4 linked regions of the Elephas maximus indicus genome follow. The protein of the gene in region 3 interacts with the protein of the main gene of each other region in a pairwise test. Links are inferred from orthologs where the notes say so. Each region holds a gene or a part of one and is shown on either strand. Other genes may lie near its edges. The genes, in order: DMRTB1, CDKN2C, NIF3L1 and SAT1.

The links.
Region 1: the proteins of NIF3L1 (region 3) and DMRTB1 interact in a two-hybrid assay, tested with the Homo sapiens proteins (2 studies listed by BioGRID and IntAct). The two-hybrid records come from large-scale screens. The link is inferred for Elephas maximus indicus from reciprocal best matches to the Homo sapiens genes NIF3L1 and DMRTB1.
Region 2: the proteins of NIF3L1 (region 3) and CDKN2C interact in binary tests that used the Homo sapiens proteins (3 or more experiments, as listed by UniProt). The two-hybrid records come from large-scale screens. The link is inferred for Elephas maximus indicus from reciprocal best matches to the Homo sapiens genes NIF3L1 and CDKN2C.
Region 4: the proteins of NIF3L1 (region 3) and SAT1 interact in binary tests that used the Homo sapiens proteins (3 or more experiments, as listed by UniProt). The two-hybrid records come from large-scale screens. The link is inferred for Elephas maximus indicus from reciprocal best matches to the Homo sapiens genes NIF3L1 and SAT1.

What each region holds. Positions count from the first base shown.
Region 1 is NC_064821.1:96,785,872-96,792,839, reverse strand, and holds the start of DMRTB1 (doublesex- and mab-3-related transcription factor B1), read right to left. Parts: upstream 3,016-6,968; coding exon 2,439-3,015; intron 1-2,438.
Region 2 is NC_064821.1:93,990,978-93,998,029, reverse strand, and holds the start of CDKN2C (cyclin-dependent kinase 4 inhibitor C), read right to left. Parts: upstream 3,015-7,052; 5' UTR 2,003-3,014; intron 1,979-2,002; exon of another isoform or gene 1,885-1,978; intron 1,829-1,884; exon of another isoform or gene 1,539-1,828; 5' UTR 1,528-1,538; coding exon 1,399-1,527; intron 1-1,398. UniProt on the Homo sapiens protein: Interacts strongly with CDK6, weakly with CDK4. Inhibits cell growth and proliferation with a correlated dependence on endogenous retinoblastoma protein RB.
Region 3 is NC_064824.1:99,577,487-99,584,725, reverse strand, and holds the start of NIF3L1 (NIF3-like protein 1), read right to left. Parts: upstream 3,019-7,239; 5' UTR 2,845-3,018; coding exon 2,816-2,844; intron 1,121-2,815; exon of another isoform or gene 368-1,120; intron 1-367. Other genes in the region: PPIL3 (peptidyl-prolyl cis-trans isomerase-like 3), read left to right, coding at 3,420-3,461, 6,912-6,986. UniProt on the Homo sapiens protein: May function as a transcriptional corepressor through its interaction with COPS2, negatively regulating the expression of genes involved in neuronal differentiation.
Region 4 is NC_064846.1:155,343,723-155,351,634, forward strand, and holds the start of SAT1 (diamine acetyltransferase 1), read right to left. Parts: upstream 3,006-7,912; 5' UTR 2,814-3,005; coding exon 2,748-2,813; intron 2,518-2,747; coding exon 2,466-2,517; intron 2,380-2,465; coding exon 2,296-2,379; intron 811-2,295; coding exon 709-810; intron 623-708; coding exon 582-622; intron 449-581; coding exon 278-448; 3' UTR 1-277. UniProt on the Homo sapiens protein: Enzyme which catalyzes the acetylation of polyamines. Substrate specificity: norspermidine = spermidine >> spermine > N(1)-acetylspermine. This highly regulated enzyme allows a fine attenuation of the intracellular concentration of polyamines.

The sequences.
Region 1 (6,968 bases), on a different chromosome or scaffold from region 3:
AGTAAGCATTAGCTCCCTGTTTGTTAAGAGACTCAATACAGAAAGGCACCCTGTGACCTTGGAAAGGCATCCTTCTCCTAGGATTGCTGTTTCGGGTTGGTCTTCTCCATCAGACAGCTGTTCCCTCAGGACCCAGATTTTTCTAGAATGTCCTAGAAGTCAAAATGGCCTTTTGAGAGCATCCAGAGGAGAGAAACTGATAGATAAGGAGCCTGCCACCCAGCCTCCTGACTCAGACCTGTGCGCTCTCTACCACACTGCCATAGGGAAAATACCAAGAAAACACATGTCCACACCTAAAGGCTTATTTTTTTAAAGTCTCAAATCTGTATGTGAATTGCACCCACTGGCAGATACAGGTTCAGTGGTAGAAATTTCTAAATTTCAGTAGGTGCTCCTCATATATTAATACAGACGATAGAGCACACAAGTAGCACTGTCAGGGAAACCTCTTAGACATGACACCTTACAGGATGAAGTTCTCAGGCTCAAAGGCAAAGGACCATAGACTCAGGGGACATCTACATCAACTGACATATCATAGTTCATAAAGAAAATGTTCTACACTCTACTTGGAGAGTATTTCTGGGGTCTTGAAAGCTAGCAAGCGGCCATCTAAGATACAACTACCGGTCTCTTCTAGTCAGGAGCAAAGGAGAGTGAAAAAAACTAAAGACTCAAGGGGGCAATTAGTCCAAAGGACTAATGCACCACATAAACCAAAGCCAGCACAATCCAGAGACCAGAAAAACTAGATGGTGTCCGGCTACCACAACCAACTGCTCTGACTGGGATTACAACAGAGAGTCCTGAACGGAACAGGAGAAAAATGTAGAACCAAAGATCAAATTCTCAAAAAAAAGACTAGACTTGCTGATTTGACAGAGACTGGAGGAACCAGGAGACTACGGTCCCTGGACACCCTTCTAACTCAGAATTTAAGCCACTTCTGAAGTTCACCTTACGTCCAAAGATTAAAAACAAACAAACAAAAACCAAATCCACTGCCTTGGAGTCGATTCTGACTCATAGCTACTCTACAGGACAGAGTAGAAAGAACTGCCCCACAGGGTTTCCAAGGGGTGGCTGGTGGATTTGAACAGCTGACTTTTTTTGGTTAGCAGCTGAGCTCTTAACCACTGCCCCCAGGAGTCCACAGCCAAAGACTAGGCAGGCCTATAAAACAAACAACACACATAAGGAACGTTATTCTTAGATCAAGAATATGAGATCAAATGGGCAACACCTGCCCCCAAACAACACTGGACAAATGGAAAGTGATCTGGGGGTGAAAACTGAAAAGGAGGAGAGTGCGTGACACAATGCGGGATTTCAACCAATGCCGCAAAGCAATTTGTGTATCATTTTTTGGATGAGAGACTAACTTGCTCTTTAAACTTTCACCTAAAGCACACACACAAAATCTGTGTGATTAAAATTGTACTTTACTACTGAAAACAGCAAGACATAACAATGCAATTTAAGCACAATGTGGAAGAGAAAAAAAAGCGGCAAAAAGCTCTCAAATCAACTATGCCCCTCCTGTGTAAGCAGAGGCTGCACCAGGAAAGCAACTTCATTCCCGCCACATCCAGGAAAAGGGCGGGAAGAGGTGCACAGGGCATTGTCTTGGAGGAGCCCCCAGGTCCCAGGAAGGGAGGGAACCCCCTGGAGGCGCGGTTATATTTGAGCCGGCCCACCTAGAGTGGAGCCCTGTCGGAGGAGCTGCCAGCCCAAGAAAAAGGCGGGAAGGGGCGCGCAGGCGCATTGTCTTGGAGGAGCCCCCAGGTCCCAGGAAGGACGGGAACTGCCTGGAGGCGCGGTTATATTTGAGCCGGCCCACCTACAGTGACGTCCTGGGGGAGGAGCTTCCAGGCCAAGAAAAGGGCGGGAAGGAGCGCGCAGGCGCACTGGACAGGGTGCGGCCGAGATGCGGTCCTCTGGGAGGAGCCTCCAGCCTACACAAAGGGAGGGCAGGGAAGGATGCGCAGACGCAGTCCTAGTTGAGCAGGCCACCACAGGGAAGCGCTGGGGGAGGAGCCTCCAGTCCACTGGCGGGAAGGGGTGCACCAGCTCCGGAAGTCTCAGCAGAGGAGGAGCCAACGCCAACTTGGCGTGGGGGCCATTTTTTCTTGGAAAATGGCAAGGCAAACCCTGTAGCTGAATATTAAAAGCCCTCCGGACCACCCATACCTTTTTATCGCTCTATTGCCCTTTTTGCAAAAACGCATTGAACCCAATCCATGTTCTGAGGAAGGCTTCTCAAACGAAGGTTACCCTTGGAAGGCATTTCCCCACCTCCACCACCTTCCCAACCCCACGGCCCATCCCTGCAGGATCCCGGCGAGCCTGGACCGCCAGCTCGGGGAACAGGAAGACTACACTCCTGAGACGAACGGATGGTGGGGCTGAGGCAGCACGGGGCCTAGGAATCTTACCGAGGTCGGCGAACGGTGGGCTGGACACAGGCCGCAGAGGCCTGCGCAGCTCCAGGCGGCCGGGACATCCCCTGGCCGCGGCCTCTGCCTCCAGCTGGGGCCCCATGGAACTGGACATCGCAGCTGCCGCTCCTTCGCTCGGCCCCATGTGGCTGCGGCCGCTCACAACCGGGTGGAAGGCGCTCGGGCCCGGACTGGGGCCCCGCGGGGGCCTCTCGGGGAAGCCAGAGATCGCACGGCCGTGGGGTCTGGGCTCCGAGTCCCCCGAAGCGGCGGGCGACAGCCGACGGAGGCTTGAGCCCGGGATGGCGGCCGCGGCCCCAGTGGCCGGCTTAGGCCCCTGAGCGCCCAGGGTCGCCTCCTGCTCCTCCTCGGACGCCTGTCTCTTGAGCACTTTCTGCGCAGCCATTATCTTCTGGCGCTCGCTGATCAGGTAGCATTTCTCACAGGCGCACTGCTTCCAGCGGCAGTTGCCCGAGTGGCCCTTGACTGGCACCAGATAGCCATGGTTCCGACACCGGGAGCACTTGGGGGTGCGAATCATCTTCTCGACCAGCTTGGTAGGGTCTGTCTTCATTACACAACCACCACCTCCGGGAGCCGCAGAGCAAGTGGAATAGGAATGAGCAGCGCCCCACAAGTCCTTGGTGCTGGGGACGTTGGATACACTTGTAACAAAGTGGTTCTCAGTATGTCCCGGAACTGCAGCCAACACCCTTGCATTTTCCCTCCTTTTTGGGGGGGTGCAAAATTTGGAGAGTCTGAATTTCTGTGCATTGGGTAATTAGGTGCACAGGATTGGGTTGAATAAGTTCTTCATGGAATGCTATTGCATGTATGTCATTTGGGTGAGCTGAAGTCTTAGGCGTTTAATTCTCCAAACTTTTTATTCCCGCCTCCCCATAGATAGAAGGTATTTTGTAACTTCAAAAAAGGCGGGGCGATTTTCAACGGTCCACAGATTTAAAGCTCCACAGGAATGTTGCTCTCTGTAAACCCATTCCAGTAGAAAAGCGTTCTAAAAGGCAAACCGTGTATCTCCTCCCAAAAGCTGCCGCTTCTGCTGAATTTTATTTCTCTTCCCTGCAGGGAAGCAGCCGTTCATGGTGATGCTTCCAGAATATTCTCAAGAGCTCAGCGCAGTGTGATGGTTGCTCAAGGGCGTGTGCCCTTAACAGTAATTCCCGTTTAAGAGTTGCTAATACAAACGAAACCCATTGCTGTGGAATCGATTGGACTCATAGCGACCCTATAGGACAGAGTAGAAACTCCCCATAGGGTTTCCAAGGCTGTAAATCTTCAGGGAAGCGGAGTGCAACATCTTTCTCCCACAGAGCGGCTGGTGGGTCCAACTGCCTACGTTTTGGTTAGCAGCTGAGCGCTTTAACTACTGCAGCCACCAAGACTCCTCATCTTGTTAAGAGGATGCATTTCGGAAAGGTGGACTGTTAACTTTTGTTGATGGCTCCCAAAGTAAAGCATACTTAACTGTGGCTTTAACGTCAACGAGGATTCATAGCGACCCTATAGAAAAACTGCTGCTTAGGGTTTCCAAGGCTGTAATATTTAGGGAAGCAGACTGCCACATCTTTCTCTCACAGAGCAGCTGATGGGTTCGAAGTGCCTATCTTTCCCTTAGCAGCCAAGTACTGCAAGCACTGCATCACCACGGCTCCTTGAAAGACACTTATACTTTAAAGTAAAACCGGGTATTCTGGTACTAGCTTGAATTTAGTTATCTCTGTAAACCAGACCAAACCTTGAGACACCTGAAAAGCTGGCACAAATTAAATAGTTTACCCAAGGCTACTAAATTAGTTCTTTTGTTGTTGTTGTTGCCGTTTGATAGAAATTTGTGACAGACCTTTTTTTTTTGTTTTAAAGGGCCACCAACACCTAATTTGAAAAACTTAAAATCAATCAGAGGATCAGTCATACAGTTATTTAAGGAAGTAGTTATGGTTAATACTATGGTTAAAAAGTATAGAGTTTTTTTTTTTCCCTTTTTTTTTAATTGGGCTTTAGGTGAAAGTTTACAGAACAAACTAGTTTCTCATTAAACGGTTAGTACACATATTGTTTTATGACATTGGTTAACAACCCCAGTGAAGTGTAGGGTTGTTAATTGTCTTTTCTTTGACATTTCTCTTTACAGTGGTAGAATGGTCAGAACCAAGGACTGGTGACCACCTTGATTTTCTTAGCCTCTGATGGCAGCTGCGCTCTGCACTTCTCACCAGCTGCCTGGGAATAGGAAGTGGTTGCCATTCTCCTGCAAGAGGCTCGTTAGACACTGGAAACCTGAAAAGAAGCATGCAGAGCCTTTTTTATTTTTTGCATTAAAAAAAAAATATGCCTCATTTTAATAAGAGGACAGAAGTACCTGTATGTGCTTCCTGCATTATTTGGCTCTTCGGGAATTTCGCTAATAACTTTATATCCATCTAAAGAGCTTCTAGCCTCGAGTTGCAATGCTGAAGGATTCCACTGGAAAAATATTAAATGACTCAAGAATCATCAAAAGAAGATGGAAGGAATAGACAGAACCACTATACCAAAAAGAATTGGTCAACATTCATCCATTTCAGGAGGTAGGATATGATCAGGAACCAGTGGTACTGAAGGAAGAAGTCCAAACTGCACTGAAGGCATTGGCAAAAAACAAGTCTACAGGAATTGATGGAATACCAACTGAGATGTTTCAACACACAGATGCAGCGCTGGAGGTGCTCACTCGTCTATGCCAAGAAACTTGGCAGACAGCTACCTGGCCAACCAACTGGAAGAGATCCGTATTTATGCCTATTCCCAAGAAAAGTGATTCAACTAAATATGGAAATTATTGAATAATATTAATATCACATGCAAGTAAAGTTTTGCTGAAGATCATTCAAAAGCGGCTGCAGCAGTACATCAACAGAGAACTGCCAGAATTTGAAGTTGGATTCAGATGGGAGTGTGGAACCAGGGATATCATTGCTGATGTCAGATGGATCCTGGCTGAAAGCAGAGAATACCAGAAAGATGTTTATTTGTGTTTTATTGAATACACAAAGGCATTTGTCTGGATCATAACAAATTATGAATGACATTGCAAAGAATGGGAATTTCAGAATAGTTAATTGTGCTCATGAGGAACCTGTACATAGATCAAGAGGCAGTTGTTCGGACAGAACAAGCGGATATTGATTGGTTTAAAGTCAGGAAAGGTGTGTGTCAGGGCTGTATTCTTTCACCATACCTATTCAATCTGTATGCTGAACAAATAATCCAAGAAGCTGGACTATATGAAGAAGAACAGGGCATCAGGATTGAAGGAAGACTCATTAACAGCCTGCGTTATGCAGATGACACAACCTTGCTTGCTGAAAGTGAAGAAAACTTGGAAGTACTTACTAATGAAGATCAAAGACCACAGCCTTCAGTATGGATTACACCTCAACATAAAGAAAACAAAAATCCTCACAACTGGACCAATAAGCAACATCATGATAAATAGAGAAAAGATTGAAGATGTTGAGGATTTCATTTTACTTGGATCCACAACTAACACCCATGGAAGTAGCAGTCAAGAAATCAAGAGATGCATTACATTGGGTACATCTGCTGCAAAAGACCTCTTTAAAGTGTTGAAAAGCAGGGAGGTCACTTTGAGGACTAAGGTGCATCTGAACTAAGCCATGGTGTTTTCAATCATTTCATATGCTTGCGAAAGCTGGATGATCAATAAGGAAGATCAAAGAAGAATTGATGCCTTTCAACTGTGGTGTTGGTGAAGAATATACCATGGACTGCCAAAAGAATGAACAAATCTGTCTTGGAATAAGTACAACCAGACGCTCCTTAGAGGCAAGGATGGTGAGACTATGTCTCACATACTTTGGATGTGTTATCAGGAGGGATCAATCCCTGGAGAAGGGACATCATGCTTGGTAGGGTAGAGGGTCAGCCAAGGAGAAGACCCTCAACGAGATGTAGCTGCAACAGTAGCCTCAAGCATAATAAGGGTTGTGGAGATGGCGTAGGACCAGGCACTGTTCATTCTGTTGTACATAGGGTTGCTATGAGTTGGAATCGACTCGACAGCATCTAACAGCAATGACAAGAGGTTCTAGGTTTGTCTCTGCTTTGCTGTACTTATTTTTTTTACTATTTATTTATTAAAAAGTCTCTGATTTTTTTATTAAAAACTATATGTGTGTGTGTGTGTCATGGATTGAATCGTGTCCCCCCAATCGTGTCAACTTGGTTAGGCCATGATTCCCAGTATTGTGTGGTTGTCCTCCATTTTGTGATTGTAATTTTATGTTAAAGAGGATTAGGGTGGGATTGTAACACCCTTACTAAGGTCACATGTCTGATCTAATGTAAAGGGAGTTTCCCTTGGGTGTGGCCTGCACCACTTCTTATCTTACAAGGGATAAGAGAATCCGTCAGAAAGTAGGGAGACCTCATACCACCAAGAAAGAAGCACCGGGAACACAGCATGTCCTTTAAACCTGGGGTTCCTACTCAGAGAAGCTCCTGGTC
Region 2 (7,052 bases), on a different chromosome or scaffold from region 3:
ATTATATGTACTGGGACTAAGCCACAGTAAGTGGGTGTTACTATCATGGTAAGTATGTTTAACATAAATGAGATTGCAGGGTTATATTAAAAATGTCAATTTTTTTTTTGCAGTGTTAATCTCCCAGTCTTCCTGATCGTCAAAAGCACTGTAAGATCTTATTCTAAACATGGGTAAATGACACATTCTTTGCGAGATTTATATAACCTTTTGAGATTTTTCAATAGGTAACTTTTCAGTATATTAAATTTGTGGCATTGCTATCATCACCAAACTCGTTCCAAACTACTAGGTGGAAAAGGAAAAAAAAATTCCTTTCTCTAATTAATACACCCACAATAACAAGATAAATAATTTAGTTATCTATGCGTATGTTCCTTAATACTGAAAAATTTTAAAGGTGAGTATATTCTGATTTAAAATGTAAACGCTATATGGACTTCATCTATAATAGTATATCTCCTATTGCTTAAATTTCCAATTCTTGTTACTAAAATAAAGCACTCTAAAAACCCTCTCCCTAATGAATCTTCAAAAACAGCTTCAAGTCTTGCATTTCCGAATGAGAATAGTTCATAAGAATATCGTCAGAACTCTGATAAAAACAACTATCTGAGGCTACTTTGCCTTATTTCTGTTTCTAAGCCTTTCGCTAAGTTACATGATAACATTCAGAGGAGGAAAAAAATTATTAGGTACAATACTTGATAGTTGGAAATGTTTCAATTGTTGCCTGTAAATCTAATTACTAAAAATTAGAGCATACCACTGGCATGACCGCAGATACGAAAACACTAAAGTTGAGTTCTGATTAGAAAATTCAACTTTTTATTCTTCCCCAGTCCTGAGTGGGAGGATGGTATTACATTAACTGTGAAATGTACATCCTGTCCCCGTGCCCAGGCCACCCATTCCAAACGAGGAGAGGTCGTTTGTCAAAACTTGAAGCATTTGAAGGAAAAACACCCTCGACAGTAGTCAATAAAATTAATGTTAAAGTCAATTATTGGGGCAAAGTACGTGAAACCACTAATAACAATGTATTTACTTCAAATAATAATCACAATAATGTGTTTACAGAGTTATTTGGAAAAAAAAAAAAAACCTGGGCGCTGCTATGACTACTTTAAAATCCCCACCGTCACAAAAACATTCCAAAAATTAAGACTAAACCTAGAACCCACTTGATATCGAGGATGTTATTGTATTCGACGAGCTTGTTCAAAGTACGTCATTTTGGGGAGTTGGATCCACTTAAAGATATAAAATATGGCAACCAACTAGGTTTAAAAACAGTAAAATTTTGTACCCCTACAAGCTTAAAAACTGTCACTCTAGAAACCCGGGTCACGTAGGCAACATTATTGACCTGTTTTCCCCACCTCTCTGGATACCAACCTGCAGCGCAGTCCTTCCAAATCCATTTTGTGCATTGACGTTTACATTATTTTGCAACAAACTAGTAAGTTGCTCTAGGTCCCCCCTGGCAGCTGCGGACGCCAACTCGTTCCCCCAAGGCTCGGCCATTCTTTAGGGTCCTGACGATCGGGAAAAGATGAATTAGTTGTTTTTCTTTCTCCCCTTTCTTTTGCTCCTAACCAGGCTGCATGATGGCATCGGAGACTGACAGAAGGACTGGGATGGTTAATCTTCTGGAGTAGAGCTTGGTAGTAAATACTAGTAAGATCTGCCTGCCAAAAGCCCGCCCCTAGATTCACACGTGATTATTCAGCAAAACTGAGCCATTGGAGAGGGGCTGCTCTCCTCGCTTTTTAGCTTAACCCCTATGAAGAATTCTGGTGATTCAACAGAGAGACACACAAACACACTTACATTCCATGTAAATTACTCTGGACGTAAGATGTAGGCAGAGCTGTCACGTACCTTCGCTACAGATCTCTGTGAGGAATACGTGCTGAGACTTAAAGGACTAGACAGGGCAGAAAATACCGCGGAAGAAAAGACGCTGGGAGGAGGGAGGGGAGAAAAGGCAATAACCCACCCTTGTTCACTGTGGTGACTTGAGCTGCGTAAGCCAGAACTGCAGGGGCAGGTCCTCCGGGGGGCTCGGTCTCCATCCGTCGCGCGGAAGGGGTAGTCCCGAGTCCTCCGCTACAGGGAGAGCGCCGCGGTGGCTGGATGCTTACGTGCTCCCGGGGGTTAAAGATGATCGCCAAAGGCAAACGGGGGTAACAGTTCCGTGGCCCTCAAGTTACAGGTCGTAACCACTCCCCAGTGGTCTCGGCTTCGCAGGAGGAGCCTTTAGACGCGTCGGGGGCGAGCAGCGGGCTAATGCCGCGCAGGAAGACTCCGGAGCCGGTCCGCCGCGCTGCCGCAGCCCCGCCGAGCCTCAGAGGCCGTGGGAGCCGGGCTCGGAGCGCTTCTCCACAGGCTGCCGGGCGCGCGTCGGGCCCCCGGCAAGCCCTTCATGCCGGCTCCACCCGGTCCACCGACTCCCGGCAGCCTGCGGAAGGAGAGCGATGTGGGGAAGCGTCTATGGGGCCCGGACCACTGGGGCAGGTCGTGGCAGCATCGCGGCTGCACCGGGCAGCCCAGCGGTAATTTCCCGCCTACGACCGAGGCAGCTCTGGCTTCCTACTGTAGGCACTCATTGAGCTGCCGCCGCTTTTCTCCTTCCTTTCCCGGTTTTCTGGGGGCTTCCAGAGAGCGGAAGGTTCCCGGGAAGCTTAAGCTAGGCTCCAACTGTGGAGAGTCGCCACAGCGCCAGGGCGCAGCCAGTCCCGCCGCGCTCTCGGCGAGAGCCCAGCCGCTTCGGCGTCCCGTGCCACTTCGCCAACCTCTCGCGGTCCCCCGGCCTGTGCCCCCAGCCTGTGCCGCCAACAGGGTAGCGGCCAGCAGCCAGCTGTGCCCTGGAGCCAAGCCGGGCAGCACTGCTTCCTCCCGAGCAGCAGCGCTCCCAGTGACAGTTAGTTTCTTTTGTAGCTGGTCCCCCCCAAATTGCCAGTCTTTGCTCCCTTCACTCCTACAGGCACTTGCGCGTCGTCCCCCTTTCTGCTCTTTTCCTTCCCTCCCTCCCTTGTTTCTTTTTTCGCTCAAACAATTGCTGCTTCTGTTGCCGCTGCAGAGAAGGTGCCGGTTTCTTCTCCCTTTTTTCCGACCTCATCAGCTTTTTTTGAAAAGAAAAAAATTGAGCGCTTTTTGAGTTGAAAAACCCGCCCCCATTTTAACGGCAGAGTTTTAAGGACGCTCCGCAGAGTTGCTGAGCCGCGGGAGCGGGAAGGCAGGGCGCCGCCCACGCTCCTCCCTCCGCCCTGGCGGCGCTCTCGCTCGCGGGCTCCCTGGCTCCGCCCCCCAGGCCCAAGCTCCCTTCCTCCCGCCTCCCAGCTCCCCGCCTCCTCCCTCGGTCTCTCGCGCTGTCTCCCTCCCGCCAGCCCGGCGTCCAGGCCCCAGCTGGAGCGGCGTTCGGCCCTGCGGAGCCGGGCTTGGCCTCCTCCGGCTGGCGGGCGGGCTGGAGTCTGCGAAGCGAAACCCTCTGCTGCCCCGAGCACTGCGGGGGTGGGGGCGGGGAGGAAGAGGTTTTTTTGTAGAGGGCTATGGAGAGCTGCAGGGCCTGGAGGCTCGGCGGGGCTGGCTGCTGGGAGGCTGAGAGCGAGCTGGCGCACCGCGAGCCCTTCTCCGGGCCTGGCGGAGCGGGCCGGCCTGCCCCCGCGCTCTCCCTCCAGGCTCGCGAATTTCGGGCGGCCAGGCCTACGGCTGCAGCCTGCCTCCTCTGGGGTGCGCGCTGTGTAAACTCGGCCTCCTTCGCTCAGCCGCGGGCCTTGGCCTCGCACCTGCCAGATCAACTCCGAGAGCTGTCGTGGGCAGAAGTGGCCGTAGGGGGTGAAGGAGAGAACCCGGAATGACAGCAAGAACAGTGCTCAGAAAAAGCATCCGAGAACTTAAGACATGGTGTAGGGCCTAAGTTTAAGAAATCATAACGTACTCAAAAGCCATAATGTTCTAGAGGTTAACAAGAGTGTGAAATATTCTTGGCGGACAGGGAGAAAAGCAATTAACTTAAAAAAAATTTTTTTATTGTGACTCTTGGGAGACGTTTTCTAATAAGGCCGTTTCTTTGTTGCCAAAGTTCTCTCTTTGACTGCTTAGATGGGAACTTTTTTGGCGGGTGGGGGGAGGTGTCTACATGCAAAGGAATACTCTCTTCTCTAATCGGTTATTTCAATCATCCGAGATACCAATTCTCTCTGTACTTTTAACTTTCTCCTTTAGCTATGTGAGATCAGTTGGTGATTGTTTTCTACATTTTATGCTCTTAAAAAAATCCAACATAGTTTGCATGATGCACCAACAGTCAAATTGAAACTAAGCAAAATATGACAAGTGGTCTACTGGCCTCTAGCAAGCATATTCTCAAGCAGCATCTGTACCCAGCTCCTTGGAGTGTACTGGACGTATTAGCAACAAAACACGCTAAACACCTAGATAATCATCTAGCAACAGATGGGGGGGCGGGGGGAGGTTAAGTAGAGGAATAGCTAAAGCTGGGAATAACCCGATTTCCTTTCTTAGATTATTAAACTTGAATTGTAAATTAAGCAGGAATTACACCACAAGGAATTAACTCCTCTTTGTTTTCTTACATACTTAGACATTTCAAATGGAACGTTTAGATTTCCATTTATATCAGTAATAATACTTTACTTTTAGTTATTATGTTAATTTACTATGTAATCTTTTAGGTGTGATGATATATTAGCACCGTTGGCTGATAAGAGATAATTGGCATTTGTCCAATTTATGAGTTGCTTTCTAGCATGGATTATGGTTTCTTGCTTAGAAAAGATTGTAATGAGGAAGAACTTAAACTGCACTCATTACATGAAGTATGGGTATACATGTGTTAAAATTTTCATGAAATAGAACACTTTCTAATGAGTTACTGTGTAAATAAAATTTATATTAATTTAAACCAAACACAGAGCTGGATTAAGATTTTTGGAGGTCCTAAACACTGGAAGGATTTTGATATCCCACCACCCATACCTCATACGTAAGTTAAAAAAAAAAAAGTGTGAAGAAGTTCAACAAAGTTCTGATGTTTCCCAAGATGACCACTTCAAAGCTTTTGATGAACTATTAAATTCTTTAAGAAAGTTTTTTCTTTCTTTTTCACTCTGGCTATGCTGGAGTCCTAAAGCACATGCCTAGTCTGCCTATTGTGTAAATCAGAACTGGCAGCACAAAGATTACAGTCTTAGTTCAAAGAGTATAAGTAAGCATTACAAAATACCTCCAATAAAAAGCTAATATTTATTAAGTGCTGGTTCACTGAAGTGGATTCTAAGATGAGCATCTCTATCCTCAATAAATTTACACTATGGTGTACAAGAAAGTTTCACAGTTAAGAACACTATTATATTGAAAGCAGTGGTTTCTCTTTTAACTTAGTAATGATATGTCCCTCAAATACTGAAATACAGGTTTTATACTTGGATATTAAATACTAACAGTGATGGAAACCTTTTTCATTCAGCGATTTACAATTATTTTGAAAGGTTTATAGGAATATAATTTAGTCAAATTATTTTGTGTATTTCCCTTGTTGGCTCAAGTATGCACAGTTTTTAAATGAATAATGTTTGGAAATGTGAATGTATTTACAGTTTTTTCACCTGGTCTCAAGGTCTTCCCCTTTGTTGCTTTTATAGATCCAAAAGAAGTGGGAAACAGACTGGCACTCTCAGGGGGCCGTTTTATCATAATTGTGGCTTTGGTATTTTATTTCTGAAATTCAGCAGGCTTCTTCACATGGGTACTCATACCACTTATGAAAGTCTTTTTGTAAAGTAAGAAAAAAGTACCCAGTAAGCAATCCAAAGGAACCCTGGTGGTACGGTGGTTAAGCCCTTGGCTGCTAACTTAAAGGTTGGCGGTTCAAGCCCACCAGCCGCTCCATGGGAGAATGATGTGGCAGTCGGCTCCTGTAAAGATTTACAGCCTTGGAAACCCAGTGGGCAGTTCTACTCTGTTCTGTAGGGTTGCTATGAGTCATAATTGACTCTACTGCAATGGGTTAGGTTAGGTTAAGCAACTCAAAAGTTTAAAAATAATAGTAATAATTAATAAACATATAGCATTTCATGGTTATTAAATATTATGCATACATTTTTAATATTCACAATAACTCTGTGAGGTAAATATGGTAATTAACCCAATTTTCAAGTGAGAGTTGAGGCTGATTGGGATTAAGACTTAAAGTCATTAAGTAGTGGGTATGGAATTTACAGGCAGGCCCTGGGTCTTAAAATCTTACGCCTTTTCCATTACTTGAGAGTGCAGATCAGGCACTAGATGTCTAAAGAACATTAAAACATTAAACAATACATTTTTATTACTTAAGTCTTGATTTAACTCTGTTGTAGCATTAATCTTCACATATATTACATTCTAAACCAGTAATTATTGTTAAAAATCTTGATTATCTTAACCAAGGGATAAAGGTTAACATCACCAGCAGTAAGTCATGTTGATATCATATGTCCCCTGATATGGTATGATGAGAAGGACACACCGCCTCTGTGATATTCTTCCCCAGATTCCATAACCTCACTGTAATCACGAGAAAACATTAGACAAACTCAAATTGAAGGTCATTCTACAAAGTTCCTGACCAATATTCTCCAAAAGTGTCAAGATCATGAAAGACAAGGAAAGACTGAGTAACTGTCGCAGATTGGAAGAGGTTAAGGAGACATGAAAAATATAATGTGATATCCTGGATTGGATCCTGGAACGGAAAAGGAGCATTAGTGGAAAAATCCAAGTAAAGTCTCGAGAGTTTAGTTAATAGTGTCGTATCAATGTTAATATCTGAGTTTTTATAAACATACCATGGTTATGTAAGATAGTAACATTAGAGGAAGCTAGATAAAAGGTATATAGGAGCATTCTGAACTATTTTTTAACTATTATATAAATCTAAAATTAATTCAAATAAAATTTGGTAAAATAACTCTACAAATAAGCTTGATTATCTTTATTTGAAAGAAAGATTAAATGGAAGTTACTTTTAAAAGAGTAGTGGTAAGGTC
Region 3 (7,239 bases):
AAGCCAACTCTTCAGACAAAGATTAGACTGCACTGTAAGACATAAAATGATAATGGTGAGGAGTGTGCTTCTTAGCTCAAGTAGACACATGAGACCATGTGGGCAGCTCCTGTCCAGAGGTGAGATGAGAAGGCAGAGGTGGACAGGAGCTGGTTGAATGGACACGGGAAATACAAGGACAAGAGAAGGAATGTGCTGTTACATTGTAGAAAGAGCAACTAGGATCATATGACGATGAGTGTATAAGTTTTTGTGGGAGAAGCTGAATGGTAAACTTTCACTGAAAGCAAAAAAAAAAAAAAATTAAAGAACTATGTTTTCTAAATCCCAGTATCACCAGCATAGGTAGGCACTAATGTTTACTCACAGAATGGCAGTCTCCTCCTTCCTTGCAGAATTTGGAGTTAAAACCAAAAAAACAAACCTACTGTCATGGAGTCAATTCCGACTCATAGCGACGCTATAGGACAAAGTAAAACTGCCCCGTAGTGTTTCCAAAGCTGAAATCTTTACAGAAGTAGACTGCCACATCATTCTCCATCATAGCGGCTGGTAGGTCTGAACTGAAATCTTTCAGTTAGCAGCCAAGCGTGCTTAACTACTGTACCGCCAGGCTCCTTAATTTGGAGTTAAACCAAAACCAAAACCAAACCAGTTGCCATCGAGTCGATTCTGACTCATAGTGACCCTACAGGGCAGAGGAGAACTGTCCCATAGGATTTCCAAGGAAAGCCTGGTGGATTCCAACTGCCGACCTTTTGTTTAGCAGCTGTAACTCTTAACTGCTACGCCACCAGGGTTTCCAATTTGGAGTTAGGGTGGTACATACTGGCAAAAGTGCTTTACCAAAATAATAATAATATTTTTTAAAAAATCAATTGCTTTATCAGCAGCCAGTATCATGGGATGCATTAGTGGGTCACTCTTCTGAATGGGCAGGGTCATGGCCAGGAAAAGGCAGGAGCTTCTGCTCCTGAACCATTAACACCTACAGCACAAAAGCCACACTCAAGAGGTGGGAGAGCTAACGGTGTAGGTACGTTGCCTACACAGCCTGTAAGCCTTCTAGACATCTACAGCCAACAAAAATTGGAAAGGTTGGCAAAAAAAGGAAAGGTAGAGGACTAAAAAAGGAAATTGTGGAGCTGGGAAAAATTTGCTGGCTCTAAAATATGAAAGGTGACAAATTAAAATCAGTAAATGATTAACCAAATAACCACAAAAATAACACTGTCAACTCTGTTCTTAAATTTAATATCTATAAAAATTTTTGGTTTTGGAAGAAAAACATCTTCTGGTATGCACGATTGATATTAAAAAACACACTGCCCTCTAGTGAATTCTGACTTATACCAACTTTATAGGAAAATGGTAGAACTGCCCCATAAGGTTTCCAAGGCTGTAATCTCTAGGGAGACGCCCTGGTGGTACAGTGGTTAAGATCTCTGCTACTATGGCTGCTAACTAAAAGGCTGGCAGTTCAAATCCACCAGCTGCTCCTTGGAAACCCAGGTCTACTCTGCCCTACAGGTAACCCTATGGGGCAGTTCTACTCTGTCCTATAGGGTCACTATGAGCCAGAATGACTCAATGGCACCTAACTACAACAATCTTTAGGGAAGTAGGCTGCCACATCTTCCTCTTGCAGACCCAGCTGGTGGGTCTGAATCACCCATCTTTAGGCTGCAGCCAAGCACTTAACCACTGCTCCGCCAGGGCTCCTTAACAAGAAAGCACAGCCAATTGTAAATGTAATGAAACATTCAGAACCCAATGATTTCAAGAAAAAAACTTTTTTCCAACATTTTTACAGCAGAAAGTATTTCATTAGGATATGGATACTTATGTGCAAGGCCTGGAAAAACAACGCGAGCCTGGGGACTTGGAAGATCTAATGATTCTGTTACCACATCCACTCGCTAGATTCTTCTAAGTCTAGCAAGAGGTAAAGTGAAGTCCCAGTAGGCCACCACGCTGATTTTGAGTTATTTACTGTTATATTTGAAAGAGACCGTGGAAACATGGTAGAACATTCCCATTGCATAGATTAGGATACTGCGAGGCTACTTGGCTTCAAGCCGCAGTTAACGACAATGAGAGGCAGCACAGCATGGTGGTTAAGAGCACTGACTCTGAAGCCAGACTGAACCCCAAAGGCACAGATGTCAACCACGGGCAAATTACCTTTACAGTTTTCCCGTCTGAAAAAAAGAAATGTAAATAATAGTGCCCAGCTGATATGATTGTCACGAAAATTCAAAAGGTATTGTGCCGTGAACAATGACCGGCCCAGAGTAAACACTGTGACTGCTACTGTTTACTAACATTAAGGTTTTTTTTTTTCCCAACCTGCAAACTATTCCCTCTTAGGTTCTCATCTACCCTTCATGTCAGTTCCACCGCAGCACCTTTTCCTGGGCACTGAAGAGCGCCAGGTGGCACAGCCAGTAACCCCAGGAGTCAGGACCCCCGTCCCATGCACCCCTGCGACAGGCCAGTTCTCTGCAAGGCCTCCTCTTCCGCTCCTTTCCCTACACTCCAACAACAACCGAAGTCTACCCTAACTTGGAGCCCCGGTGGCCGCAATGGTTCTGAGCTCAGCTGCTAACCGAAAAGTGGGCTATTAGAACCCACCAGCGGCTCTGCGGGATAAAGACGAGGCAATCTGCTCCCTAAAGATTACAGCTTCGGAAACCGTATAGGGCGGCTCCGCTCTGTCCTATAGGGTCACTATGAGTCGGAATCAACTCCTAACTAGGCTCTACCTCTAAGATATCGAAAATCCACGCAGGTTTCTAGATAGTACATTACTCACCCGTCCTGGAAATGCCTCTCAAACGCCATTTCCGGCTCTGCGCAGTAGCTCCCCGTGTTGTAAGACTGGGCCGAGGACAGGAGTTGAACGGAAGTGGTCCGTCAAGTTTTACAGCTGAGACCAAGGCACTTATACAGGTGGCCCAGGATAGCTCCGAGTTACGCTTCTTGTTTTAGTGTAATTATTAAGAGCTTCTTTTTTTTTTTTCCTTTCACTGTCAAGCGTGTCCCATGGTTCCCTTTTTCTAGTCGATTTGGTTTGAGCCAGGTAAGAACGGAGGACCGAAGGAACTTGTAAGAAAGAGCGTCCTCTGTTAGGGGCCCCGCGTCCAACTTCCGGTGGCCAAAAAACTATAACTTCCGGCGACCGGAGTCGTGCGAACATCACCGGCTCCATCTTCTGTTTTATGCAACGGCTTTGCTTAACTGAAATGGTGAAGTATAAAAAACCCGTTGCCGTCGCGTCGGTTCCGACTCATAGCGACCTTATAGGACAGATTGGAACTGCCCCACAGGGTTTCCAAGGAGGGGCTGGTGGATCCGAACTGCAGACCTTTTGTTTAGCAACCTGTTAACCACAGTTCCACCAGAGCTCCGAATTAAGAATGGACGGTTTTAATCCTTTCATTCGCTTATTCAAGTGCTTGGTGAGCGCTAACTATATGATAGACACTATCTTAGTTCTTGTTCTTGGATCCCTGGTGGCACCGTGGTTAAGAGCTCGGCTGCTAACCGGAAGGGTCGGCAGTTCGAATCCACCAGGCGCTCCTTGGTAGACCTTACAGGGCAGTTCTATTCTGTCCTATAGGTCACTGTGAGCCGGAATCGATTCGACAACGGGTGTTTTAGTTCTTGGGATACTTCTGAGTGAACATTTGGGGTTGAGGTGGTGTTGGAAAGAGACACTTTAAATAAGGAAAGTGTATAGTATGTTAGTGATAAGTGTGATGGGAAAAGGAAATAGGGCAGGTAGGAGGGTTAAAACAATTTTAAATAGGATTTACAGGTCAATGAGACCTGACATTGAGCAGACTTGGCGGTGAGGGAATCAGCAGTACTAATGTCTAAGTGTGAGGGATCCAGGGAAAGGGAACATCCAGTGCTGACACCCTCAGGAGGGGGAGTGTGCCTGACTTGTTGGAAGACTTACAAGGAGGCTCTGGAAGAAGAGTGAGGGAGAGGAAGTATATTCAGGACCTCCTCACTACGTCTATAACCAGATTTGTATTACGTGGGGAATGCTCTTTGAGGCTTTTTCTTATTAATATACAATAAGCAAGCGTGAATTAAGAGGAAAAAAACAATTCTTTTTTGCTCTTGTTTTTTACAAACAGACTCACTTTCTCAGAAGCACTGTGATACATTAAGTAACAGTGCTTCCTGAAACCATTAAGAAGAATGGTAAGTTTTGTAGAATATTTTTGAATGCGTGTAAGTTCTAGAAATCCAGTCAAGGGAAATAAAACTGCATGAAAATTTCAGCACCAAGTTGGAGAAAAAGTAGGATGTAGAGGCATACAGTGTAGAATGATGCCAAACAAAAACAAAACAGCAAAATTATTTTTTAATTCTTTAATGTTTTCACTTAAAATGCACAGAATTTACCTTTTATGGAAAAAAGATTATTAGAGATGGAAAGGGGGAGTTGGAGGAGCAGAACAGTATAACCATGTATGATAAGCCCTGGTAGCACAGTGGTCAAAGTGCTTCACTGCTAAACAGAATGGACTTGAAGGCAGTGGGTTCTAACTTGAAGTAGAAGATAAGCAATGAGAATAGTGCCCTGCCCCACCCCCACCTATCCTCTACCTTCTACCTGGCCATACCTCCTGACTGCTAGATATTATTGTAAGGAGAAGAAAAAAGAAAGCCTCAAAATAGTTTTCTCCCCTCTCTGGAATGAGTTGCGATTCCTATAATGTGAAAGCACACTCTCCCTTTCCACCCTGTGTTTCCTGTGTCCATTCAACCAGCTCCTATCCCCTTATGCCTTCTCAACCTGCCGCCTGCCAGGAGGTGCCCATTTAGTCTCGTGTATCTGCTTGAACTAGGAAGCACACTCTTCATGAGTGTTACGTTTTGTAATCCAATCTAATCTTTGTCTGAAGAGTTGGCTCCAGCAATGGTTTTAGTTCTGGGTTAACAGAGAGTCTGCGGGCCATGTGTTCTGGGGTTCCTCTAGTCTCAGACCATTAAATCTGGTCTTTTTATTAGAATTTGAGTTCTGCATCACACTTTTCTACTGCTCTGTAAGGGACTCTTTGTTGTGTTCCCTCTCAGGGTGGTCACTGGTGGTAGCTGGGCACCATCTAGTTCTTCTGGTCTCAGATTGATGGACCCTTTTGTCTCTTGGGGTAACATTTTCCTGTGTCTTTAGTGCTCTTCATTCTCCTTTGCTCCAGGTGAGTTGGGACCAATTGATGCATCTTAGATGGCCACTTGCTAGCTTTTAAGACACCACTTACCAAAGTGGGAGGCAGAACATTTTCTTACTAAACTTTGTCATGCCAGTTGACCTAGGTGTCCCCTGAAACCATGGTCCCCAGACCCCTGTCCCTGCTACTCTGTCCCTCGAAGTGTTTCGTTGTGTTCAGGAAACTTCTTAGCTTTTGGTTTCGTCTACTGGTGCTGACTTCCCTTGTATTGTGTGTTGTCCTTCCCCTCACCTAAGATAATTCTTTGATGCTTTTTATACTTGTTTCTTTAGTCAAGAAAGAAATTGATAGATAATAAAAAAAAAAAAATACATATACGTTTTATTATGGGTGAAGGAAAAGATAATACATAATACAGGAGAGGTCAACACAACTGGACTAAACCAAAAGCAAAGGCGTTTCCTGAATAAACTGAATTCTTTGAGAGCTGGCGTGGCCGGGGCGGGGGTTTGAGGACCGTGGTTTTAGGGAACATCTAAGTCAATCGGCATAATAAAACCTATTAAGAAAACATTCTGCATCCCACTTTGGAGAGTGGTGCCTGGGGTCTTAAACGCTGGCAAGCGGCCATCTAGGAGGCATCAGTTGGTCTCAACCCACCTAGAGCAAGGAAGAATGAAGAACACCAAAGACAAAAGGTAATTATGAGCCTAAGGAACAGAAAGGACCACATAAACCAGAGACTACATCAGCCTGAGACCAGAAGAACTAGATGGTGCCCAGCCACAACCGGTGACTGCCCTGACAGGGAACTCAATAGAGAAACCCTGAGGGAGCAGGAGAGCAGTGGGATGCAGACCCCAAATTCTTGTAAAAAGACCAGACTCAATGGTCAGCCTGGGACTGGAGGGACCCCGGAGGCCATGGTCCCCAGACCTTCTGTTGGCCCAGGACAGGAACCATTCCCAGAGCCAACTCTTAAGACAGGGATTGGACTGGAATAGGGGATGGAAGATGATACTGGTGAAGAACGAGCTTTTTGGATCAAATAGACACATGAGACTATGTTGGCATCTCCTGTCTGGAGGGGAGATGAGAGGGCAGAGGGGGCCAGAAGCTACCAGAATGGACACGAGGAGAGAGTGGAGGGAAGAACTGTGCTGTCTCATTGGAGGGAGAGCAATTAGGAGTGTATGGCAAGGTGTATATAAATTTTTGTATGAGAGACCTGATTTGTAAACTTTGACTTAAAGCACAATAAAAAATTAATTAAAAGAAAGAAAAACTGATTTTTAACCCTGTTTCTCAGGATAAAATTACATAAGGGATATGGTGGAAACTATGTTTTGGTGATTTACCATTTAAATCAATAATAGTAACATAACACTTGTTTTTACTGATAAAAAATTCAAATGTAAACTAATTTCTATCTCAATATTTGTTTCCAATTTTTAGCATAAATACCTTTTTACTTTAACATTTACATCTATCTTATCATTTATATCTATCTTATGGTATTTTTTCCTGCTGTTAGAATAAATTTTAGGGAAGAAGTATAACTCATCTCTAGAGCTGTTATGTGAACGTCATCTCTGATGCAGTATTTCTTTCCGTCTCCTTTTACTCAGACTGTCATACTGGATGTCCAGTAAGGGAAACAATACAGTGCATAAAGTCACGTGAAGAAATCTTACTTGTTCTCAAATTCTCTCTCCCTTTTAGTCTGTGACATTGCATACAGATGTAGGTGATATTAAAATAGAAGTTTTTTGTGAGAGGACACCCAAAACCTGTGAGGTGAGTACCATTATTTGTATATGAAAAATTAGTTTAATGTACCAGGATAGCCATTTTGAAATTGAATCACCTAACCCTAAGACAGTAACAATAGAAAAAAACTTTTTTGTGAAACTGTGGTCAGGAAGAACCAGCCATTATAATTTCTGGCCTAATTTCCTTACCTTTTACCATATCAAAGGTAGATCAAAGAAATGGTAGATAGTTTTCCTCTAAGCATAGAGTAGGAGTCCCTGTGTAATGCAAGTAGTTA
Region 4 (7,912 bases), on a different chromosome or scaffold from region 3:
ATGACTCACAAGAATGAAGTTTTTTTTTTCACATATAAAGATCATACCACCTTGTTTATCAAAAAAAAAAAATTCAAGGAAAAATCTGACTCCAATCTGAACACAAAATTGCCATTTTAAGTAGACTGCCTTTCAAACATGCAACAACGCCACTGGTAATAAAGCTTTGGAATGGGAGCTCTTTCTATTATTCCACTACAAACAGGTTAGAAAGCAAGAGAAGCTGAGAATTTTTCCTAAATAGAATGGAACTTGTCATTGTCTGCACTGGCGCTTCTCACTCCTCTGCTGCCATTTTTAGCAAGTACTCCTTGTCAATCTTGAAGAGTCTCCATCCCTCTTCGCTGGACAGATCAGAAGCACCTCTTCTTTTGTAGAAGTTGATAGATGGTTCGTTCCATTCTGCCACCAAGAAGTGCATGCTGCTGCAGCGACATTTCATAGCAACCTATTGTTAAGGGGGAGGAGGAAAACAAAACTCAGTGACATTTCACCTGCTTTCCCCAGACCTAAATTTGATTCAGTCATTAAAATAAATCCAGTAATCCTTACAAATTAAGAAGCCAAAGACTAAGACATACCTGGCTTAGATTCTTCAGAATTTCTGATCCTATGCCAAAGCCTAAAAGAGAAGTACAATTAAAAACATTTTAAGGATTTAACGCCCTATATTTCTCTTTAAACCCACTCCTCTGTACTCAGCCATACCTCTATAATCGCTCATCACAAAGAAGTCCTCAAGATACAACAGCTTGCCAATCCACGGGTCATATGTAAAATAGTACATGGCAAAACCAACAATGCTGTGTCCTGTAATAAGAGTATCACATGAGTTCTAGAGAAGAAAAATCCACAAAAGTTGTAGCTGCAAAACAGAAGCCTATCACAGGTTTTAAAAAAAACAGACATGCATATATTATAGAAACAAGTAGCCACTAAATTAAGACTGTCTCCTTTTATGATAGTGCAGCCCAGGCCACTGTTGGACAACCTCACTGTTTTCAGAACACTTATTTGCAAAAAGCACACATTAGAGCTAGTTGAAGCCAGGCTAGAACTGTGGGCTGGCCTCTCTTCAATCTGCTGGAGCTCACACTCAGGAAGCAAGAATGCTTTAATTACTTGCCAGAGCTAAACTGCTATGGTTTTTAAAGTAAACACACATATTATTCACATCCTACTGATATACTGGTATGCTGATTGGGGAATAAGTCAGGTTTACACGGCAGTTCAGAATATTAATTGTGTTGTCTGGAAACTCTGCTTCCTTAAGGTCAGATCAGGCTAAAGGTGCAACGTTTAATTTCAGAACTTGCCTTCCAATTCACACATATCCCAATTTGCTTTCCCCAGTTTTAAAGCCAGAAGCAGCAGCAGTAGCCACGAACAGCTATTATGTAACATCCATAAGTCTTAAAAAGCACCTCATTTCTTCTAGCTTGGGGAACCAACTTCAGAAAAAGCTTAAGAAATCTCCCACCCAAACAACTTCCCCTTTTAGCTCTTATCTTCTGACCAGTCAACAAGGACCAGCAAAAATATGAAAACTAAAACAAAAAAACCAAGCATCGGATTCTGTCTTAACAGGTATCCACAATTCCAAAGGGAGGCAAAGGTTTTAAATTAAACTTTCAAGCCATTTTATATTCCTTTGCAAACAAACAGGAAGCGAGTATAATGAAGTTTCTGATCTACCGTGTTTTAAGTGTGTGATAATAGGGCCTTACCTCATTTATCATGATCATCTACTTTATTGTGTAAAGGATCTTTTAGTTACCTCCCCGCCCATCCATGTACACGGAAGGGCCATGTACATGGCGAAGCTAGAGACTGTAACCTGAAGATTGGGACAAATTAAAGAAAAAAATGCAATTTAACACAATTACAAAAAAGGTTACGTTAGGGTCAAACAAGAACCATTTTATGAAACTGAATTACAACAAAAGACATTATACCTAACTTTTCTGGGTCTTCACAGCACTGATAATTAAACAGTTCTTTTCCTGCTTCCGTAAAGATTACAGCCGAAAAAACCCTAGGGGCAGTTCTACTGTCACATGACGTCTCCACGAGTCGGAAACGACTAGATGGCACCCAACAACATTAAGTGCGGCACATGTATTGTTTTTGTTTTTTCCTCCTCAGTAGTTTTCCACACTGGCTGGCTATTATTTCTGGCCAACTTCTCACTAAGTAACTTGGGCCTGGGTAGTTAGTGGTTCTACACAGCAGACACTACGTTTTACACAACACTCAGTCTCTCTGACCAGCTTCTGGAAGGGGAGGGGTGGCTACCTTCCGGAGTCCAGTGCTCCTTGGGCACTTCTGCAACCAGACAGTGGTAAAAGGGGTGCTCTCCGAAACCATCTTCTAACAGATCTGCAAGGAGGGACACAGTGTTGGCTTCGGGGTGGGTGAGAGGCACCGGACTCTTGTCCCTCCCCCCTGCCCCACTGTTGCGTTACCTTTCTCAGTTAACCTTACTTTCTCTTCCATGTATTCATATTTAGCCAGTTCCTGGGGCGAGGCACGCAGAAGAAAAAAGAGAGAACAGAAAACAAAGTGAGGCCACCGACAACTCAGAGGAAGGGGATGAGGCTCGGGAGGGGAGGGCGGCAGGAGAGGGCGGGGCAGGGGCAGGGGAACCGCCCCGGCTCTCCAGCAGCGACCCAGTCCCAGAGACCCACACTCTCCCCGGAAAGAGGCCGCCCCACCCTGGCCCAGGAGGCGCCCGAGCCGCCAGCTACCTTGATCAGCCGCAGGATATCACTGCAGTCGGCGGCGGTGGCTGGGCGGATCACGAATTTAGCCATTTTCGTCTTTTGCTTTTCTTCCCTTTGCGGACCAAGCCCCTGTACTTGAACAGCAGGAGGAGGTGGTTCCTCATTCGTCTCCCGGGAGCTTCCTTTTCTCAGTCAGGCTGGCACCATGACCCGGCGAACTTCGGCAAGCGACAAAAAACCCTCACCAGAGCGAAGACTAACGCTACGCGTAGAAGCTGCGGCCAGCGCCGCTTTTTTAGTGCGAAGGAGCCCCGCCCCGGGCCGTGAGGCGGAGGCATCTCGCCCAATGAGATCGCGGCCCTCCCCCCTGCCCCCACCCCTTTTCCCCCGGCTTCGCTCTCAATTCCGAGCCCGTGTGAGCTGAGCAGGCGCGAGCGGGGGCGGTGACCGAGAGTAGCCTGGGGCGCGGCGGCTTCGCGCAGCGGCGCTCTCTAGCGGCGCCCTCTTGCGGCGCCTCATGGAATATTCCCGGAAACCGCGCGCCCCAGTAATTTTTGCAAATAATGGAATTTCCCCTGTGTCCCCCAACCTGTGACCTTGCTGCCTTCTCCTTGGCCCGTCGGTGAACCAAATTCTGGAGACCTGGCATTGGACGGTCGGAGAAGGTCTAAGGCAGAACTATTTTCATAATAATAGTAACGTCATTTGACTTTTTAAATCTCGGAATTTTCCAAAGGTGACCCGTTGTGTGATGACGTCATCGCTCTGATGACTAAAGGACTGTGTTCGTGTATCTTGTGTTTTCTAGAACTTTCTAAGGTAAGCTGTTTAGGTTCTTCAGTTTCTTTTTCTTATTCTTGCAATTGTTTTTAGAGTTAGTGAAGTTTTTTCTTTGTTACGTATCCCCCGCCCCACTATTCCTTTTTAAATCTCTGACTTGTGGAAACTCTTTTCTTCTGCCTGAGGTACATTCTTCATAATTTCCTTCAGTGAAGGTTTGCTTTTGTCAAACTTTCTCAGTTTTGCTGAATATGTCTTCACTTCATCTTAAATTTCTTGAAGAATTTTTTTTCATTGCTTATAAAATTTGAGGTTGAAAATTATTTTCTCTTCTACATATTGATGTATTATTTGGCTATCTTTTGGCTTCCAGTGCTGTAGAAAAGTTAATTGTTTAGAAAGTTAATTGTTTAAAATTAATACATAATTTTTCCTCCAAATATTTTTGTATCTTTTATTAGTGTTTCGTGTTCTTCAGTTTCTCTTTGATGTGTCTTGGTATAGATTTTAAAAAATATTCATTCTTCTTTGGATTCATTACATTTCTTGAATCTCCTGGTTAATGTCTTTAATCAGTTTTGGAAAACTCTTAGCCAGTAATTCTTCCTATTTTATCTCCACCCTATTTTGTCTTTCCTGTCCTTCTGTAGCTGCAGTTAAACACATGTAATGCCTACTTGCTCCATCCTCTGTACTATTTTTATTTTTTTAAACTTTATTTTGAAATAAATTCACAGGATGTGTGATGACATCATTGTTTGGATGACTAGAGAAATGTGTGCTTGTGTTTTCTTATGTTTTCTAGAATTTTCTAAGATAAGCTCTTTAGGTTTCTCAATAATTTTTTAAATGTCCTGAGACCAAAATGAGAACAGCTGAATTAGAGTACTGTATAACTTCTTCCTGTTTGTACCCACTGGAAGAAGTATTCAGGCTTCTGCAGAATGAGTTTTTCTTTTACAACCACCTTCCCAGACAAACCTTGCTCCTCCAGCCTTGCCTAGGCTCAGGGTTAAGTCAAAAGATGATTTTCACAGTGAGAGAAAGCAAGAAAAGGGGCTTGCAGCATCTGCAGTCTGTGGAATGAGGAGTTGAACTATCACCAAATGACCACAGGGCTATCACCAAATGACATTCAACAGGAGTCCCTGGGTGGTACAAATGGTAAGCAAGCTCAACTGACAACCAAAGTTGGAGATTCCACTCCATCCAGAGGTGCCTAAGAAGAAAGGCCTGGCAATCTACTTCTGAAAAAAACAGCCTTTGAAAACTTTATGGAGCACAGTTTTGCTCTGACACAACATGAGGTCATCATGAGTCAGAATCCACTCAGAGGCAACTGGTTTTAACATTCAACACGTAATTCTCTGTCTTTGCTAGCAATAAACTGTATGTAAAAAAATCAAAAGTAGGTTCTCAGTTCTCCTTCCCACCCACCCAGGATTGCACACATAGTGAGTCACTGTGGAAATTTAAGAAACGTCTTTCTCAAAAAATCTGTCAAAATCAGGTTGCTTAATCTACTATGGGTAGTATCTTTCCTAACAGCATGAGCTACACCTCCTGAATGATCATTCAGAGGACCTTCCTTCCTCTGCTTTCTAAAATGAGAGAACTTAGGAAAGCTTGCTACAGATTTGGAGCCCTGATGGTGCAGTGGTTAGAGCTTGGCTGCTAATCAAAAGGTCAACAGTTTGAATCCACCAGCTGCTCCTTGGAAACCCTGTGGAGGATTTCTGTCCTATAGGGTTGCTGTGAGTTGGAATCAACTCGATGGCAACAGATTTTTTTCATTACAGATTTACTGATAATTTAGTCCTTCATGACTAAGAACTAATGGTAGCTGCCTAGTTAGAGCACGAACAAGGCCATTTCCTATTTGGGTTGCGTAGTTTTTTAGAATAGTGTTCTATTAGAATTATGACTTTTTGGTTATGAAAAATCATGATTTTTCTTCTCTGCTTTTCCAGTTTGTTTCATGCTCTCATGCTTCCCTTTGCCTTTGTGGACAAGAAGAGCGTGTTCTGAGATGGCCGCCGAGTCGATTCCAATTCGCGGTGACCCAATGTGTTAGAGAGTAGAACTGAACTCCGTTGTGTTTTCTTGGCTATGATCTTTATGGAAAGAGATCACCAGAACTGTCTTCCACAGTGCTGCTGTGTGGGTTCGAACCGCCAGCCTTCAGGTTAGTCGTCAAGTGCAAACCGTTTGTACCACCCAGGGACCTATTCTGAAAGATTCCACTGCTGTCAAGTGACTTCCAGCTCATAGCAATCCTACAGAACAAGCTAGAACTGCCCCACAGGGTTTCCAAGGCTTAAATCTTTACAAAAGCAGACTGCCACATCTTTCTGCCACAGAGCCGCTGGTGGGTTCGAACTGCCAACCTTTCAGTTAGCAGCCGAGCACTTAACCACTGTGCCACCAGAGTATAGGTGGCTAAAAAAAGCCTGTTGTGGTTGTGTATGTGTAGAAGCTTAGAACCCTAAGAAATTTGAGTTTTCTTCATGGCAGTGAATCGGGTTATGCTTTTGAAATTTTAGACTAATTCCATTTTAGATAGGTGCTATGGGTGAGCCATTACTCCCTCCTGATACTGGAGTTTGTATTGAATACTGCATAAAAGGAAACCCTGGTGGTGTAGTGGTTAAGTGCTACAGCTGCTAACCAAAAGGTCGGCAGTTCAAGTCCACCAGACGCCCCTTAGAAACTCTATGGGGCAGTTCTACTCTATCCTGTAGGGTTGCTGTGAGTTGGAATCAACTCAACGGCAGTGGGTTTTTTTTTTTTTTTTTAGTTTACTGCATAAAAAGGGGAGTAACTACCTAGCATTTGGAAAAGTTTTATTTGGTTAATGAGTCAACAAATCAACAAATACAATGAAACCTGTGAGAACCAGAACCCCTTGTTTTTCTGGTCTTGCACATTTTCTGCCCTTGACAGGGTGCAGTCTTACCACTTTTCTGTCCCTCTCTGTTAGTGGAAAATACTTAAATTTTCCTTTTCTGACAGGTTTCCGCCTTACACTGGTTCCACCTTTCACAGGGTTTTACTGTATTTATTAAGCACTTATCCAGCCTTGTGCGAGGTACTTGGAGTATAGAGGATAACTAAGTTTTGAAACCAGCCCTCACCATATACAGTTTACTTTTATAGATGTGTGTGCAGTTTACTACAACAGAATTTAATCTTTGTCAGAAAGAGAATTCCTGAAACTGAGGAGGACTGAGAAGGGGGAGAATGGGAGAAAGGGAAAACACCTAGGTGTTTTGCATTCATTGTCTCATTTAATCCTCACAGTTACTATCATGGGAAGTGGTAATATTACCTCCATTTTTACAGCTGAGAAAACCGAAGCTCAGAGGGATTAAGTGTTTTTTTTTAAGAAGTGGTAGAACTAGCAAAGAAGTTGATTTTGGTGCCAAAGTGAAGCTGTCCAATCTGCCCCATTAAACTCTAATGAAAGGTGTTTTTTTTTTCTTGCTTGTAAAAGCAGTGTACTTGTTGTTGTTGAGTACTATTGAGTCGATTCCAACTCATAGCTACCTCACGTGACGGAGTAGAACTGCCCCATAGGGTTTTCTAGGCTGTAGTCTTTACGGGGGAGCCCTGGTGGCCCGGTGTTAAAAGCTCGGCTGCTAACCAAAAGGTTGGCAGTTTGTATCCATCAGCCACTCCTTGGAAACCCTATGGGGCAGTTCTGTTCTGTCCTATAGGGTCGCTATGAGTTAGAATCGACTCAAAGGCAAAGGGTTAATCTTTACAGGAGCAGGTCACCAGGTCTCTCTCCTGAGGAGCCGAGGAGCGCTGGGTGGGTTCAAACTGCCAACCCTTCAGTTAGCAGCTGAGCATTTAACTGCTGTACCACCAGGGCTCCTTCATAAAAGTAATACATACTTATTAAGAAAAATTGAGAAATGCAGAAATACAAAAAGACAATACAAATAACCCCTATTAGCCAGCACCCACCGCCTGCAAAGTCGCACCATCACCTCCCTTGGTTGTAATTTTGGAATAGCCCCGTATAGTAGAAAAACCAGCTGCTGTGGAGTTTTGGAAATAGTGGTGAGGGCTGCACAACATGGTGAATGTAATTAATGTCATAGAATTGTATGCTTAAAAACGGTTAAAATGGCAAATGTTATATATCTTTTACTACAATAAAATTTAAAAAAATTCTTGTTAACGGGTTGATTTCCTTCTAGTCTTTTTTCTATCCATATATACATGCAGGACTGATACTCAGTTGGTTTATAGTGTGGTGGATTAAACCAAACCCAGTGCCGTCAAGTCGATTCCGACTCATAGCGACCCTATAGGACAGAGTAGAACTGCCCCATAGAGTTTCCAAGGAGCACCTGGCAGATTCGAACTGCCGACCCTTGGGTTACCAGCTGGAGCATTTAACC